3 linked regions of the Drosophila melanogaster genome follow. The protein of the gene in region 3 purifies or fractionates together with the protein of the main gene of each other region. This does not show direct contact. Each region holds a gene or a part of one and is shown on either strand. Other genes may lie near its edges.

Evidence for each region. Proteins that work in one complex are often made in the same cells at the same time.
Region 1: the proteins of Atxn7 (region 3) and Ada2b purify together in Drosophila melanogaster (affinity purification with mass spectrometry; 3 studies listed by BioGRID, with this or other methods). This does not show direct contact.
Region 2: the proteins of Atxn7 (region 3) and Ada1-2 purify together in Drosophila melanogaster (affinity purification with mass spectrometry; 2 studies listed by BioGRID). This does not show direct contact.

The regions. Positions count from the first base shown.
Region 1 is NT_033777.3:8,236,568-8,242,186, forward strand, and holds Ada2b (transcriptional adaptor 2b), read right to left. Parts: upstream 3,949-5,619; 5' UTR 3,857-3,948; coding exon 3,743-3,856; intron 3,040-3,742; coding exon 2,164-3,039; intron 1,686-2,163; coding exon of another isoform or gene 1,616-1,685; coding exon 1,536-1,615; intron 1,469-1,535; coding exon 871-1,468; 3' UTR 547-870; downstream 1-546. UniProt on the Drosophila melanogaster protein: Component of several Gcn5-containing histone acetyltransferase complexes that regulate nucleosome organization; involved in acetylation of histone H3, particularly on Lys-10 (H3K9ac) and Lys-15 (H3K14ac).
Region 2 is NT_033779.5:11,991,068-11,994,600, reverse strand, and holds Ada1-2 (transcriptional adaptor 1-2), read right to left. Parts: upstream 1,700-3,533; 5' UTR 1,609-1,699; coding exon 809-1,608; intron 745-808; coding exon 618-744; 3' UTR 547-617; downstream 1-546. Other genes in the region: CG18789 (uncharacterized protein), read left to right, coding at 1-535; escl, read right to left, coding at 2,127-3,026, 3,082-3,271, 3,330-3,533. UniProt on the Drosophila melanogaster protein: Component of the transcription regulatory complex SAGA, a multiprotein complex that activates transcription by remodeling chromatin and mediating histone acetylation and deubiquitination. The SAGA complex predominantly acetylates histone H3.
Region 3 is NT_033779.5:2,374,153-2,381,021, reverse strand, and holds Atxn7 (ataxin 7), read right to left. Parts: upstream 5,182-6,869; 5' UTR 4,879-5,181; exon of another isoform or gene 4,759-4,878; intron 4,690-4,758; exon of another isoform or gene 4,350-4,689; intron 3,891-4,349; 5' UTR 3,821-3,890; coding exon 2,747-3,820; intron 2,687-2,746; coding exon 845-2,686; 3' UTR 516-844; downstream 1-515. Other genes in the region: CG15390 (uncharacterized protein), read right to left, coding at 5,383-6,156, 6,213-6,266.

The DNA.
Region 1 (5,619 bases), on a different chromosome or scaffold from region 3:
GTTTTTAGTTATAATGGTAAAGAGAATAAATTTGTTTAAATATATGATATATTTTTGTAGGTATACGGTTACAGAGTGCATGCTTTAGGGTGCCGCATTGGACGAACATAAGCTAGGATAAATAACTAGTGGGTTTCTTGAACTGAATGAGTGATTTTGTTAAGTTTATAATACCGAAGAATGTCATTAGATAACCGCATTTTCATTTAACAAGTTTTAATCTTCGCTAATTTATAAAACATTCCATATGTGTTAACATATTAGATATTTATATATTTTTTCCAGCATTGTTTTCCATTCCTCAGCCTAGTACATTGATTATCATGCTCTCATGGGCTTTAATGAATTACGTTCAAATGCATTGTTCAGAATCTTGCCTAGAAAACTAGCTACCATAAGAAATAATATACGAATATAAATACTCAACGCGGTATTATCGCTATCAGAGGCTTACTCAATACCTTACTTCTTACATATCCTAGCGGCATTCAGTCCAAAGCGGTCTCCCAGCTGTGAGATCCGAGAAACAAGTCGCGTCCTTGTTGTACATTCACTATTACATTTATTACTTCATTTACAATTCATATCATACATATTCAATTGGTTGGGTCCCCTACTTAAGCTTAGTTAATACACAATATCTGAATCCCGACATCTCACACAAAGGAACAACACTTATTGTAATTGAGCTTGACTTGATACAAGTAAATTGATTTTCAGTTTTGTAGTTTTTACCTTGATGAAAATGCCAACGACAGTTGAACAGTATAAAAATGTCTTTAACCTATTCTAACTAATACAAAAATAAAGTGAAGTCCTTGGAAATGCATGTGGCTCTTAATCGAAGGGGAGCGGGAAGTTGGAAGATGTTCAGTGGCTCAGCCAGCCGCACTTGATAAAGAACTTGCGCAGCGAAGTCTCCATAGGACTACCCAACGATGGTGCTCCGCTCAAGCAGACAGTCTTAACCGAGAGGTAGGTGGTGGGCGTAATATTATGCTTCTTGCACAGATCCAGCTCGTTGTGACTGAGCAGTTCACTGCCCGGCGGCTGTGGCAGATGTTTTAGTTCCTCCAGCTGGGTGCGCAATTTCAGGCTCATGCTGGGCACCTGATCACTGCCTCCGCCGGCGGCCTCGTTTTGCATTTTGTGCTGGTTGCCGCTTTGCAGGAGCTGAGGATGCTGCTGCAGCGGCTGCAGATGTTGTTGGCTTCCCTTCGCCGAGTTCGTTGGCAGATTCGCCATCGTCGTAGCCGTGGAAGTCACTCCCGTCGTCGCTCCCGAGTCCACTGTTACCCCCATTACCATTCCCGTCGTCTGCAGCATCGTAGCTGCCGACGATCCCCGACAGCTATCCAAGTAGTTTTTGCTGGGCAATAATGCGCCGGAGCAGGTCGGGTCGGCGATGTGGAGCGTGTTTCTTGGTGCGATTGAATTTGAACTTGCCTCGCCGCCGCTTGACATTTCGCTAAATAAACGAAAAACCGAATTATTCAAGTTCTAAGGTAATTGCAATTTTTTGCCAAAATACTTACACCTTTCTGAGATTCGGTTGTGGGGAGTGCAAGGAAGAGCTTGGCGGCCGATGACTTCCATTGGAGGTATGCGTGTGGTCCTGTGGTTAAACATTGTCTTATAGAACCATTCGAACGCTCGTTGTTTGGCGCGTTTATTATGCAGTGGAGCTGAATATCGTGAGACAAGACGGAAAAGCGATTGTAAGAGTTGGGTCAGTTCAGGTAAGGACGACGGTTAAAGCAAGGCAGAACACACGATATTCAACTCGTCATGCATTCTCAGTGGGAAAAGCTTACTCCAAGGGGAATGAAATCGAAACTAGCCAATTTGACCATTTAATATTCTGTATTAAGTATTCCAAATCGATTTATCCAAACTTTTATCTATACATTCAACTTAAATCATTTGTTTTCTTTCAATTTAAGTTAATCTACTCATTGTTGATAAAATTATAAAGCTACCGGTTCCGGTCACCTAACACCTCTTTTAATTTTTGTGAAACAATCGAAAGAAAAGGTAATGTTTGGATTTTAATAATAAAAAAAAAAATAACAAAGTTCCAAAAAGTTCGGATTTTCAAGACCAAATAAAATATTTAATGGTTAGTTCGATTTCGGCACCCCTGTTGCGGAGCCTTAAACTTACGGTCTTGCCATGGCCATATGGTCCTGTAGAGCGGTGCGTCGCTGTTGCGGCGTGCTGCTCGAAATGTGTGCATTCCGCGATTTTGGTCAGGCCATTATACCGGTATCGGTACAGCTCTGACTGTCGAATGCGCAGTTCCTTTTCGCGCTCCAGTGATCCCAATAGCCGCTCATACTCGTTACACGTGTAGAACTGGGCGTAGACCCGAAATCTGTCCCGAAACTCGCGCTGCTCCTTGGTGAGTCCTTGTTGCTGAGCGTAATTTCTGTTTCGGAAGAAATTTGATACTAATTGATAGTCCCTGACCATCCGTTTCCTGCGAGCACGCTCTCTGAGTCGGCGGGTGTATATGTCAACGTGGGCCAGCTTAAGCATCACATCCACCTCCGTATCCTCGGAGCTTAATGAGATGTTCGAGATCAGTTGCTCTGCCGTGGGATCGTACTCCCGCTCAAAGCTGTCCCTGTTGGGCATGTAGCCCAGCTGCATGGCCTCATCGGAGTTGATTTCCAGTGGAGGCAAGGTAGAGAGAGCATTGGTGCCCAGAGGACCAGCGTCGTCGTCTCCAGTGTGATCGATAAGGCGGGGTCTCTGGCTCTGGGCCGGCGTCCAAGTGGCCCTTCCAATCGTGCCATTTACAAACTTATTCACGTACTCCTCTTTGGCATCCTCCGCTGACTTCGTCTCAATGTGCTTGCTAATGTCCTCCCAGTTTCCAAAGCCGTACTGCTCGATTGCATCCAACAGGCGGATTTCCTCTCGTGCCGTCCACGCCCCCTTTCCACGAAATACACTCAATATGGAAGTGCCGGTGTCCATGAACTGGTAGGAGTGGTTGTTTTGATGGGCGCCGATCTCCGCACCTGCGGCAAAGCACTGCGCAAAAAATAAACAATACAATATAAATACAGAGTCAGCTGTTTTTTAATCAATATGGTGAAATTGCCGGTTGTGTGTATGTATTATTTGAATGTCTAGATGAGTCAGTTTTTGGTTCCAAATTGGCGACGCATCTCTAGATTGTACGAGTGTGGGTGTAACAGGGTGGGTCGATTATGTTGACAAAGAAAACGTGTAAATAGTTCCTCGATAAAAATAATTTGATTAGGAAATTAAAACAGAAACATATTTCATATTCCCTAAATTTACGCTTTGTCAGGCCTTTTTTTAATACAAGATTCAGACACTTATTTTGACATTTTTTTCTTTTTAATTTATGGCATTTAACTAAATAAAAATGACACTGCTAATTCGTAAGGAAGTAATTTTTAATTAAATTAACTACGATAGTCTACCTATTTACCAAAATCAATAAACAAATTTCCTTTAAATTAACAAAAAGTTAAAGCAAATATTTTTCTTGTCAAGATCTGGGTGACGTTAATTTAGAGGATTGAGGCCATATGGCCATTAGTTTGACCATCCAAAGAGGGTGATTCAAGAATATTTTGTTAAAATAACTGATTTTTATTATTTACAAATCTATATACAAGTATCTAGAACCTCAAAAAGAGCGAACCACCCTACTGCAACATGTATACGTGCGTCGCTCGACGGCGTGTATGTGTGAGTTACTTACTTGCAGACACAAATCGAAGTTTTCGCACTCCGCGCAGTGCACTCGAATGCCCTGAATATCATCCTGGCAATTTGTGCAATTATACTTTGTGAATAAATCCGCGATTGTGGTCATTTTGGGCCAAAACCTGGATTTTCACGACAATTATGAGTTGTGCGAAAAAAACCTATGCCAGTAATGTGACCAGACGCGAAGTCAACGCCATATTGCTCTACTGAGAATTCTTATATGTACGGCCAACGAACCGAACCAGTTCATCGGAACAGTGCCGCCTATATAGCTAGTCTTAAAGCCTTTTTAGCTAATTTTCATAATTCTGTTGAATCTCTGAATTATAGTTAATTTCTAAATTATACTACTTACCAAAAGTACCAACACATTAAATATAGAATACAAATTTCAAACATTAGGCACATGTTCAAAACTCTAATGTTTATGCGTTAAATATTGATAGTAGTTTATTTAATTATTTTAAAAGTTTAATTCGAGTGTTTTGCCTTTTTTAAATTATCACAAAAAATAATATTAATATATATAAAATAAAACTAAAATAAAAGAAGTGCATATCAAACCAAAACAAGGTAAACATAAATACGAATATGTGATGGTTGAAACATTTGTAGCGTGGTGCTGAATAAAAATATAAAAAACTCATGTGCTTAAATGCAGTTCGATACGTAAATTTAAGCGGTGGTCAGGATTAAAAACTTAAGCTAAATTCTGAGTTACAAAAAAAATATAAAATGGGTAAATATCTTTTGTTTCAAACAAAAAGTGTAAAAGTAATAACTGCCGAAAAATATTTCGGTTGCTTACATCTAACATGAATAGGGCGTGGGACTGCCGAGATATTGTAGGTTACAATCATTACAATCATTGGGAAGGATTTGGGGTAGGCTACGCTGTATAAATAGTTGATTATTCGATTAGTTCATATGGTGAATACGTTTATATTATTGTTAGTATTGCTGTCTTACACCGAGCAGTAGCCGAATTGTTATGGGTTCCAGATATCTCAGTGGGCGGTGAGGACTAGTTTGTGTTGCATGTGGCTTTGGTGGCATTGTTGCTAGTTTACTCTTGCTAGTTAGCTTGGACCAGAGAAAAACAAAACGAGTTACACGATACAAAATGGGTTAACAGATCTTAAACAGATATGGCAAGTTACTTGTGCAGCTGCGCTTTTCAAAAACACGCACACGGCCAACAAAATTTATCAATTCGAGTACCTAAAAACGTCTAAATAAGTCTATTTGAGCGCCAAATTCGGTTTTGGTGTCGCACCTGCGTCTGATCCTAGGGACTGAAGTATGTTTAACAATACTGTTCGAGGACATTCAAGAGTTTGAGATTCACGATTTTCACAGATACGGTTCGATTTGAATTCGCTTGCGTAAGGAACTAAGGAAAAGTCACAGCGCAGGCGCGACCCCAGTCGTCATAATTGACGACTGGCAACGGAAACAGATCCATGTCCAGATCCGTCTGAACCGCCTGCTCCCAGCATCGAGACTCATAAGCAGGCGGCCGCGATGGATGGGCTCTCAAAATTTGCATAAGCGAGTAGTCCTAAAGCATAACTATCAACTAATTTGGTATGTAAAGTCTTTGTGTCTTTGTCATGGGCATTGGCGCGATGAGGGCTCAAGGTCCTGTGGCAATGGCCAACTAGCAACAGTATGACCAACATGCCGGCAGATGCCACAAACTCTGCACCATACTCACTCGGATATGGGAACCGATTCGCTGTGCTCGGTGTCTCGTCTTTGTCTCTAAACTCTCGCTGCTCATCGTCATCGTCTTGGGAAGCGTCTAAACATTGGCTAAGCTTGGCGGGGATCACTGGTGTGGTGAAGCTGGAATAGGTGCTGACATGG
Region 2 (3,533 bases), 9.6 Mb from region 3:
CAACATTTTCGCCCAGGCGCAGGTTCAGGTGCAAGCTCAGCCAGTGAATCCTAATCCTTTCGGTGGTTTCCAACAGCAGCAGCAGCAACCACAGTCGACGGGAATCTTTGGCCAAGCCGCAAGCCAAAATATGGGCGGAATGTTTACTCAGGCTTCTCAGCAACTACAACAGCAGCAGCAGGCAGCTGCCTCCGGATTATTTGCTCAAGCAGCAGCATCTGCATTCCCTAATCAACAACAGATGCAGCAGCAGCAACAGATGCAGCAGCAGCAACAGATGCAACAGCAACAAATGCATCAGCAGCAGCAGATGCAACAGCAACAAATGCAGCAGCAGCAACAACAATTTCAAATGCAACAGCAACAGCAAATGATGCAGCAGCAGCAGCAGCAAGCTCAACCGACCAACGAAATCCAGTCCTCAGTTTACAGTCGCATGGAGGATCTCAACGAGCAGGAAATCGAAGCATTCAAGGCGGATCAATTTCTACCAGGTGCCTTGCCATTCAAACCGCCTCCACGGAATTTTTGCTGAACCAAACACTTAATGGTACACTAGCGTATAATGTATATATTTTTACAGAAGCTGATATAATAAAATAATTAGAACTTATAAGCTAATGCATCATCATATTGAGTCGTTCCATGTTTATAGAGTAGACGGCATGCGAGCCTATCAGGTTGCGATCCCGTAAGGCCAGTTGGCAGTCCTTGAGGGTGATTACTGTGCGTTCGGTGGGTTGGCTGAAAGAAACAAAACCTAAGTTTGTGTTTCACATGAAAATCTCATTATTATTCAGGAGCTTACACTTCTTCGCAGGCGGAGAGGAAGGTCACATCGTCGTTCTGTCGCCGCATAAAGTTGGCCGTATTCAGTTCCTTGTCCAGTTCCAGCGGCGTGTCGTCGACCTTCTGCCGGGTGACGGTGTTGCGCAGCGAAGGATCACGCAACGGAGCACCTACATCGTAGTAAAAGTTTCCCTCGCCGCTGGTCTTGTAGTGCTTTCGTTTCTTGATGATTGCCGATAGTAGATCCTTGAGCAGAACTTGCACGGCCATGGCAACGTACTCGGCGACATTGTCGTCCACGGAGACAAGTCCGATTTCCCAGGCACCGATCAGAAATCGTCCCATAATGAATCCCGCGTCGGGCAGGAAAAGTTCCTGCGCGCAGTACCGCTGCGACTGAAGCTGTTGCTGTTGCTGGTCCGACGGAATACCGATCGTGGTTGGCGGACGAATGATTTGCATGTTGTCCTCGGCTACAAAGTCCAGGACGTCGCTGAGCTCAAAATTAAGGCGTTCGGCGAAGGTGCGGGAACTTCTTTTGCGCCGTTTGCTTCGGTTGCCACTACTGCTGCTGGTCTGGACGGCCGGAGGATTCTCCAGGGGAGCAAAGGCGTCGATCTTGTTGAGCAGGGCGAGCAGGAACTGATTGTGCAGGTGCAGTTTGTCAGGTGTTAGGATTTTCCGCGACTCCGCATCGAATTCCTCCTTAGTCCAACGGCTCCGAAACCAATTCTTCATGTTGGCCCGGTAACGCTCCCAGTTGTCGCCCAGAGCCACCACTAGCGCCTCCTTGGTGGCCAGAACTCTGTCGGTAAGCATTTTAGTAATGGGAATAACAACTAAACAGGAAAATCCAACTGTTTGCGAATTGCTATATAAACAAATGAATGCAGCTGATTCGAGTGACCGTTCAAAGAACGGCTGAAAATACCAGATACATTTGAGATAAAAACCGTTATTTTTGAAGAACCCTTTAAAAAAATATTGGTTTTAATCTTTAGTGTTCACAGTTTTTATTGTGTACAAGTTAGTTAGTTAAAATATAAACATTAAAGATAGAGCCCACGCCATTCACACAACATAAGATGATAATATTTGCGAAGCTATTTGATCATTAAAAAAGTAATAGAATAGAATAAATATCTTGGTTAATGTTAAAAAATTTAACATAATTTAACATAAATTGTCAATACAATGAGTATTGTATATAAATGCTACGCATAATAACATACTTAATATTGAAGGTAAACATTACACTGAAAATAACTATGGTTACATAAATATGGTATCGGATTTAGAAGGATAAGGAAAATTCTTTTAGCCTAGAAACACTCATCCTAATTGACGCGATCCCATCGCCACACGGTGCTGTCGTCGCACACGCAAACTAAAATGGAACCGTCTTTGGAGAAGGAAGTCTGTCGGATGGTGGAGTTGCTTTTGGGATGAACCAGCTGGCTACACTTTGTTAAATTGGGATCATTGCAGTCCAATTCCCAGACAAATGTTGTGCCCAGTTGATTGCCCAAGGCCAGAATCTTTTGCCAGGCGTTGAAGGCGAAGCGTACGAACCAGATCTCGCACATCTTGTAGTCAAAGTGATGCAGCACCGTGGTGGCCGACTCCTGTGGCTTAATCTCATGCCACGATTCTGAAAGTTTGCCCGGCTTCCAGCAAACAATTGAGTTCTCGCAGGATTTCGAAAAGACAAAGTCGCCGAACCACTGAACGCAATCCACATAATTTCGATGTATATCCCTTGTCGAGAAGTCCGGAAAGTGCTCCTTGATCGTGGGAAACGGACCCGTATTCTTGTTGGGACTAAAACCAGAGCTCAGCTCGATGGCCTCTTTTATATCGGGCTTATCCAGTCGCCAGAGCTTCAGTGAGTGATCCATTCCACTGGACATGATGCGATCACCGCGCAAATCAAAGTCCACAGACAACACTTCGTCGCGGTGTCCTTCTACGCCGCCGAAAACCGCCACACACACGTCCGACTGAATGTTCCAAAGGCGCAGGGAGTGATCCTTGCTGCCGGACAGAAGTAACTGCGGTCTAGTCGGATGAAACTTCAGCTCGTTAATGGCGTGCCCGTGACCAATGTAGTTTTTGCTGCACTGGTGCTTAACCGGATTGAATATGCGAATGACGCCGCGGTAACCAGCCGCGGCAAGCACAGGATCGCCGGTCACAGAGTCGTAGGACCAAGCGCATGTGTAGAAACTTTCATCGGTCTAACGAGGGCGTAACGATGATGTATGTAAGTAATAGCATATGATGAGTACTTACATCTGGGTCTGCGTAGACTTGCAGCAGTCGAATGCCTTCGCAGGACTCCTGTCCGGTGCTCCTCTCGCACTCATAAATGGAAACCCGATCCTTGCCAACGGTGGCGAACACCTGCGGCTGGCCTCTGTCCAGGAACGGATTGAACTGCACTCCGAAGATCTGATGGTTGTGGTCCTCGCGGACATGGGAGCTGCAATGCATCCGGGATATAAACATTATGACTTATGTTCTGCCTGGAAAAATCACACCTATATTTGTACAAGGGCTGAACCATTTTGGGTGCCTTGATCCGCCGACACAGGCGGTTCAATTTTCGTGTATTTGGCGATTTGCTTCTGGTGGTGGTCGTAGTAGTGCTGAACAAACTGGCGGTGTCCTCCCGATCCACGGAATTAACTTCGTGCTCATCATCCGGCTCCACAACATTGCAGACACTCGAGGAATTATTGCTC
Region 3 (6,869 bases):
CACAATAAAATATTCTTTTAAATTGTAACTTATTTATTCGGCACTTATTTAATCGTTTTAGTGATTATTTGTTTTAAGGATATCTATAGTTGTGCCGCATACCGTAGGGATTATAAGGTTTTAAGCTTCGATAGATATTGTTAGCGTGTTCGTAAACCATTTAGACCGTTATTTTAATACGAATTTTTGAATGGCTTCACACTATTCCGGACAATTTATGTTATTTCTGACCGACATGGTCGGCGGATCCCACATTTCGGCTAACCACAGCCACTGCACTGTTCCTTACCCTTTGCCACTGCAATGTTCCTTACCCAGTGCCGTTGCCTCGAAATCTATCTTCCACTTCCACACACCTGTGCCAGCTCATGGGATCCATCAGAACAGTCGACTATGCCGTTGCAGGCTAAGCTGGTTTCCTTCGCTCGCCGGTTACTGTTCTCAACACATGGAACATAATCATAACTTGCTCCTCGTTTGGAGGAAGATATACACAATGAGGCAACGCTGGGTCTGGAGTATAATTGAACTTAGGCATGCTCTTGTATTTAAAAAGTTTACAGCGTGTATAAATAATGATTTACGAGTACCTAGCATAATGCTTAGCCACGAAAAATAATATGTATAATTGTTAAATTAATTAGAATAAACAAAGAATTACATACAATCAACTAATAGATAACTAAAAGATAATTATCACTTTTAAAAAATGAAGAATTAATTTAAAAAATTATTACAATTTAATTTAGCATTAGAGAAGAGGCTGCACATAATAGCATGGTATTGTATAAACATATAACTAGGGATGCGTGTCCGCACATCTGACCTTCCCCATCGGTTCAGATCAGACGAAGACGCGCATCAAGTCGCTGCTGGTTGGAGTGGAGTTGCCTCCCGGATTGGAACTGTTCCCCTTCCAGGGAGGATTGCTGTTGGCGCTGGGAGTGTTGCTGCTGTTCAAATTGCTGATGTTGTTCATGTTGCTGATGTTCATGTTGCTGCTGCTGTCGGACAAGGTGCGCAGCAGCTGCTTTTTGAGGAGCTGCTGTGGCGAGTGGCTCTGACTTTGGCTGGCGTTGTGGTTGCTCTGGAGCGGCAGGGTGAAGCTGGGGCGGCCGAGGGGCTGCAGCTGCTCCAGCTTGCCGGCCAACAGTCGGCGGCGTTTCTCGTAGAAACTGAAGGTCAGCTTGTTGTCCTCCTCCTTGTCGCGTTCCTTGTCCTTCGTCGGCTGCTCGCCGCCATCCTCGCTATCCGGTGGTGGCTTCTCCTCCTTCTTCGCCTTTCCCATTAGCAGTTCATTCAAACGCTTGGCTGTCATGACTCCCGGCGATCCGCTTGATCCACCACCAGCTTTTCCTCCTACCAGCGCCCTCTTATTGCACCTCAGGCGATCTTGTGCAATGACATTCGATCGCTGAGCGTAAATGGTTCTGCCCGAGGCGGGATTCTTACCCGGCAGACCGTTGCTTAACGCTGGCGAGGGCGGCGGCGGTGTGCGGGCCAGCTGACCGACCACGCCCAGGTGATTACCTCCCGACAGGGATAGCAAATTGTTGTTCGCCTTCCGCGTGGTCAACAGATTCTTGCGGAAGGTGACGCCCAGGCCCTGGGGCAACTTCACCATGCCAAACGTGTTCATGGCCAAGGGACGAGGCGCTCCGGAGTACAGCATCACGTTAAAGTAGCTGTCCTCGTGGTATTTGGCATTGGCCAGCGATGGATGGTGATTGATTTGAGGATTTGTTGTGGGTGGCTGGCTGGCGGCCTTGGCCTCCAGCTTAACAGTCTTTACGGTGTCGCTAACAGTCTCCAGTTTACTGAACTCAAAGTCGGCCAGTTCATCCGCCAGTTGGTTTGCCTCCGTTCCAGAACTCAAGTTGGTTTGTATGCCGCCCGATTGCACGACATTCACGTCCACATTTTCGTAGCCCGCGTTGGTTAGGAATTCGGCTAAGACCTTCTGCTCCAGCATGGAAACGGGATTCGACTCGGTGATCTCGTATATAATACTGGGCAGGATCATGTGCTCCTCCAGCTGCTGTTGCTGTGGATTGACCATTGCCTCATCCGTCAGAGACGGCACGTTGTAGACGCTGAACTGGCGCTGCTGCTCGTGATCCTGAAGCTTCTGATCCTGCTGCTGCTGTTGCTGCTGCTCTTGCAGTTGCTGCTGCTCGAGCATCTGCTGCTGCTGGTAAATCAGTTGCTGCAACTGCATGGCATCGATGGTGGTCAGCTCCTGCTGATGCTCTTCCTCGCCATAAACCTGCTGAACCGCCTGCTGCTGGTACACGGCGTAATCCTCGCCAATGGTTCCGTCCTCAAAGCGCAGCCTTTTAGTGGCCTGTGCGGGATGCGATAGCGATCCATTCTGCGCTTGCTGTTGTGACTGCTGTTGCGATGTGTCCAGAGCGCTCTCATCGAAGTTATTCAGAATCTCGTTGATCAGCTTGCTGTCCAGCATTTCGTCGAGCGTCTGCGAAATGGAGTTCTCGTCGGAGGTGTTGGGCAAGGGCAGTTCCTCCTCATCGGGCGCCACCTGCTCGGCGGAAACCGCTCCCGTGATGGAAGACACTGCCTGGTCCAGTTCGCTGAGCACTTGCTGCTGCTCGTAGGAATTCACCAGAGACTTATCTTTGTTCTTCTCCTTTTCCGCTTTTATTCGATGATCGCTGGAGCCCTTCAACTGAAGAGGATTTCGGTAATTGTATCATTGAGTTATTATAGTCACAATTATATGAAATACCTTTTTCTTTGGCTGCAGCTCGGGCAGCTTTTCCGCATCCGTCTGAAGCTGGGCAGGTGAATAGTTGACCCCCATCGCCACCTCGCTGGAGGCCGCTCCCAACGTGGGAGTGGGCGGTAAGCTGCAGGATGAGTTGCTGGAGGAGGAGAACATGGTTATGGCAGCCGGAGCAGCACCCACAGATGGTGGCTCCTCCTTAACAACAGCAGCGACGACGGGAGGAGCGGCTATGGCCGAACTCTTCTTCGATCCCTTTGACTCCTTGTGATTGGACTCCAGCAGGGCCGGAGCTGGCGAGGAGTGGTGGCGGTTCTTTGACGACTTCGAACGCGACCTACTTCCGGCGGAAGTGCTGCTGCTGCCCTTAGACGAGGAGGAACTGCTACTTTTACTGCTGCTGCTCTTGTGACGCGACGAAGACGAAGACGACGTGGTGCTGGATGAACCCGCAGCAGCCGGATGCTGCAGTGAAGCCGAGCTGCTGGACCCGTTCGAGCAACTGGAGAGCGTCGAGGCCGAAAGCGTATCCGTGGGCGAACTTGGCACGATAGCCCCGCCCTCCTGACTGATTTCCGTGGCAGTGAGACGAGAGTCGCTGGATATGGCTGTCCCATTTGGATTGGGATTCACTTTGCTGGATGTGGCCTCCCAGACGCTAGGATGCTGCAGCGCAATGTGGTGCTGGAAACCTGCCTTCGTGTAACATCCCGAGCAGGAACTACAGAGTACTATATCGCGACTGGCCAGCTTCGGCGCCAGATCGTAGTAGGCCATGTCCGCCGATTGCAGACGCTGGACCTGCACCTTCGCCTGTTGATCTGCGCCGGCGGAGGAGTTCTTTCCACCACGCAGATACGTCTTCTCAGCCGTTCGCAGTTGCTTGATGACCTTTTCCATGTCGAAGACCTGCTGCCACTTTTGGCCCTGCAGGCTAAACAGGGATAGTCCCGCCGATCCCGAGCCGGAATTGGAGCCGGCCGACGAGTCCGGCTTCCACATTCCCGACACCTTGTGCTTGGTTCCATTTTCCGGATAAGCTCCACCACCGGCGGGGGCCACATCGTTCAGGGGCATTCCGGATAGAAGCTGTGCTCGCGGGATCCGGGGATTCGGTACACTCGAGCAAAATTGCCCCTTAAAGCACCTGCAAAACAGGATTGATTTATTAGTTCCAGAGAAACTTTGATAGTGACAGCTTTTAACTGATACTGCAATTCATCGCTGATAAAAAACACAAAATCTGGGGCTATGCACCATGAACCCCGGACCACGGAATCCCTACGAAATGCCCATGTTAAAATCATCACTAGTTTTCATACAATAAATTCGTATATTCTATTACATATACATATGTACGTGGTTTGAATCACCACCAGGCGTGTTTAACCCTAAAACTCAAATTTAATCTTATAAGTATATCTCAAGAAGATTACAACTTTATTAGATTTAGATTTAAGGTAAATTAAAACAAGAATAATCATTTAGAATTAATTATTTATTTTTTCTTTATTTTTTTATATTATAATTAAAATTTTTTGGTGCACGTTAGGATTAACATAAACAGAACCATCGTTATAATTAAATGAATAGATATCAGCAGAACCCACTTATACATATACAACATATCCATTGACCACAGGACCCTGACCCTGAATACATACATACATACATATATAGATTTTATTAGCAACGGAAAAGTATTGGACACTGCACAAACCACTTGTGGAGGGTGTGAAGACTGTACGTCTTGGAGTATTTCTATGCGTATATTGCCATTTTTGAATGAATCTCGAAATTTAACAAACTGTTGTTTTTGATATCGTAAATTTTCAGCGAAAGCTTACAGGTGAGTGCTGCCCCCGCCCCCGCGAGCGCCAACCCCTCGGTACCCGCACCCCTTGGTCTGGATCAGCTGTTTTTGACAACCGCTACTCGAGTGGCGCCGTCTCGCTCGCACTGCCGCACACATGCGCAGCCACTCACACCGACGCACAGCACACTCACGCACTTACCCACACCAATGCAACACAAACAAAGCACACGATTGAAAATCACAAAATAAAAATCACTTAAAATGCTCGCAGGCAATTTTAGTCGAATGCCGAATGATATCGGCATTAAATGACACTTACGTCGTTAACACACTTCCATGTTTTGTTGTTTTTTTTGTGGGTTTAGGTTACCGTTCTACCCTACCCGTGGATAAATCGGATTTTTGGCCGGCCTCCGTGGAGGAAAATGCCAGGTCAACTCGAAAAAGACGAGTTGGTTGTATAGCCTAATTGATTCTGTAACGAAATCAATTAAAGCTTTCTAGTTTGTCTCGCTTTTTCGAGTTTAAAGATTGATATTATGAATATCGTTGTATTTGCTTAGGGATGGCAATTCGCGTCTCGTTACGTTACGTTGTATTTGTTGCAGCTGCAGATTAAGTGCGATATGTTATCGATAGTCGCACAGGTATTCGTTGCATACGTAGCCGATATATTAATTACATGCATTTCCGCTGAAAAGTCAGTTGAATATATTTATGAATTAAAATCTTTTTAAAGGCGATAGAAAACTATACTTAACATTTCCTATTTTTACAAGCGTTTATTTGCTGGCACAAACTATAACCATAATTAAACGTAACATTAGTCATCTTCATCACTAAGCTCATCCTCCTCCTTTCTTCTGGACTTTTGCTCCAGTTCCTTGGCGTAGAGATCCTTGAAGGCTTCGTATTCCGGCAGGGTGACGTGGCAAATCTTTGTGGCGAAACTCTTCTCGGAAGTGTCTGTAATCTGATAGAGTTTGGGGTTCGTAGTCGGCTCATTTGGATCGGCTTTCGGAGGTCGTGGCTTAAAGAGGCCCAAACGAAGCAGGAACTGGTGGCGACAACGCAGCTCCTCGAATGACAAGGTAAGGGCTGCCGATTTAACCAACTCCGGCACTTCTATGCGCATCACGTCTGTGATGAAGTTCAGTTTCTCCTCAATAGATACCTCGGATTGTGCTATCAAATCCGGACTGTTCATCAAACACTTCCACACATTTTTGCTGGTGGAGACGCGACTTTGAAGGAAGCCGATGTGGGAAAGTAACTGGTGGGAGTCGCTAACGTCCAGTAACTCGGGGTACTTCGTAAGGAGCAGGTGCAGTAGATTCTCGCCGAATTGACAGGCCCTCCAGATTTCCAGGCAGCTTATTATTTTGTCCGGCGTTCTTTTCAAAATCGCGGGGTTACCGGTAACTATTCTAAGGAAATTCACGGTTTCCAAGCCGTGGTTTTGAAAAGTTTGATGGGCCCTTCGCCAGATTTCAGGTGAGAATACAGCTAACGTGGGTTCTATTTTGATGGCTTCATCGATGTGAATTTGTTCAAGCTGCAATATCTTGGGCGTTGCCAAGTGCCTTATGTGATGTAACTGGAAAGTAACAATTTGTATCTAATTTCTATCTAATGCATTCATGATTAACTCACGTTTGACTGTTGTTTTAATACAGCTTGTGTGTTAAATAATAGTTTCCGCAACATTTTTGGCGATGTCCTCTTAAATCGGCGAGCAAAACAATGAACAGCTGATCTCTTCTTCTTTGCAATGACAGTTACCGAGAAGCGTGAACAACGGCATGTTTAGCTGGTACACCCACCATATTCGTCTATAGCTTAATTGTCTATTAAATCGCACGCATCGAACTGTTATTCTCGTCGGGTGCACAGCAAATTGTTTATAAATAGAACTGTCGCGCATAAAAAACAACAGTGGAAAGTTTTATCGTTTAGTTCTGCTACAAGCTCAGCGTAAGTTTTTTTTCTTTATTTTGTACATATGTGTGTATACATGTGTGTGAGAGTTCAACTATAGCATAATTATAATCAAACTCTGAAAGAGATATAGCTTAATGTTATAAACTAAGTACTACCCGGCTTATTTAACCAAAGAATTCAAATTATTTGTCGCCATTTGGAACCGTACAAGTAAATACATACATATGTATGTAGAAAACGACATGTAAACTGATCGATACACTGATAAAAATTTATATTCAAGTGAAAAAGCTTAAATCAAATTTATAAATGGATGTGAAATGTATTTTTATATTTCTTTTAAATATACATAAATCCATACACAAAAAC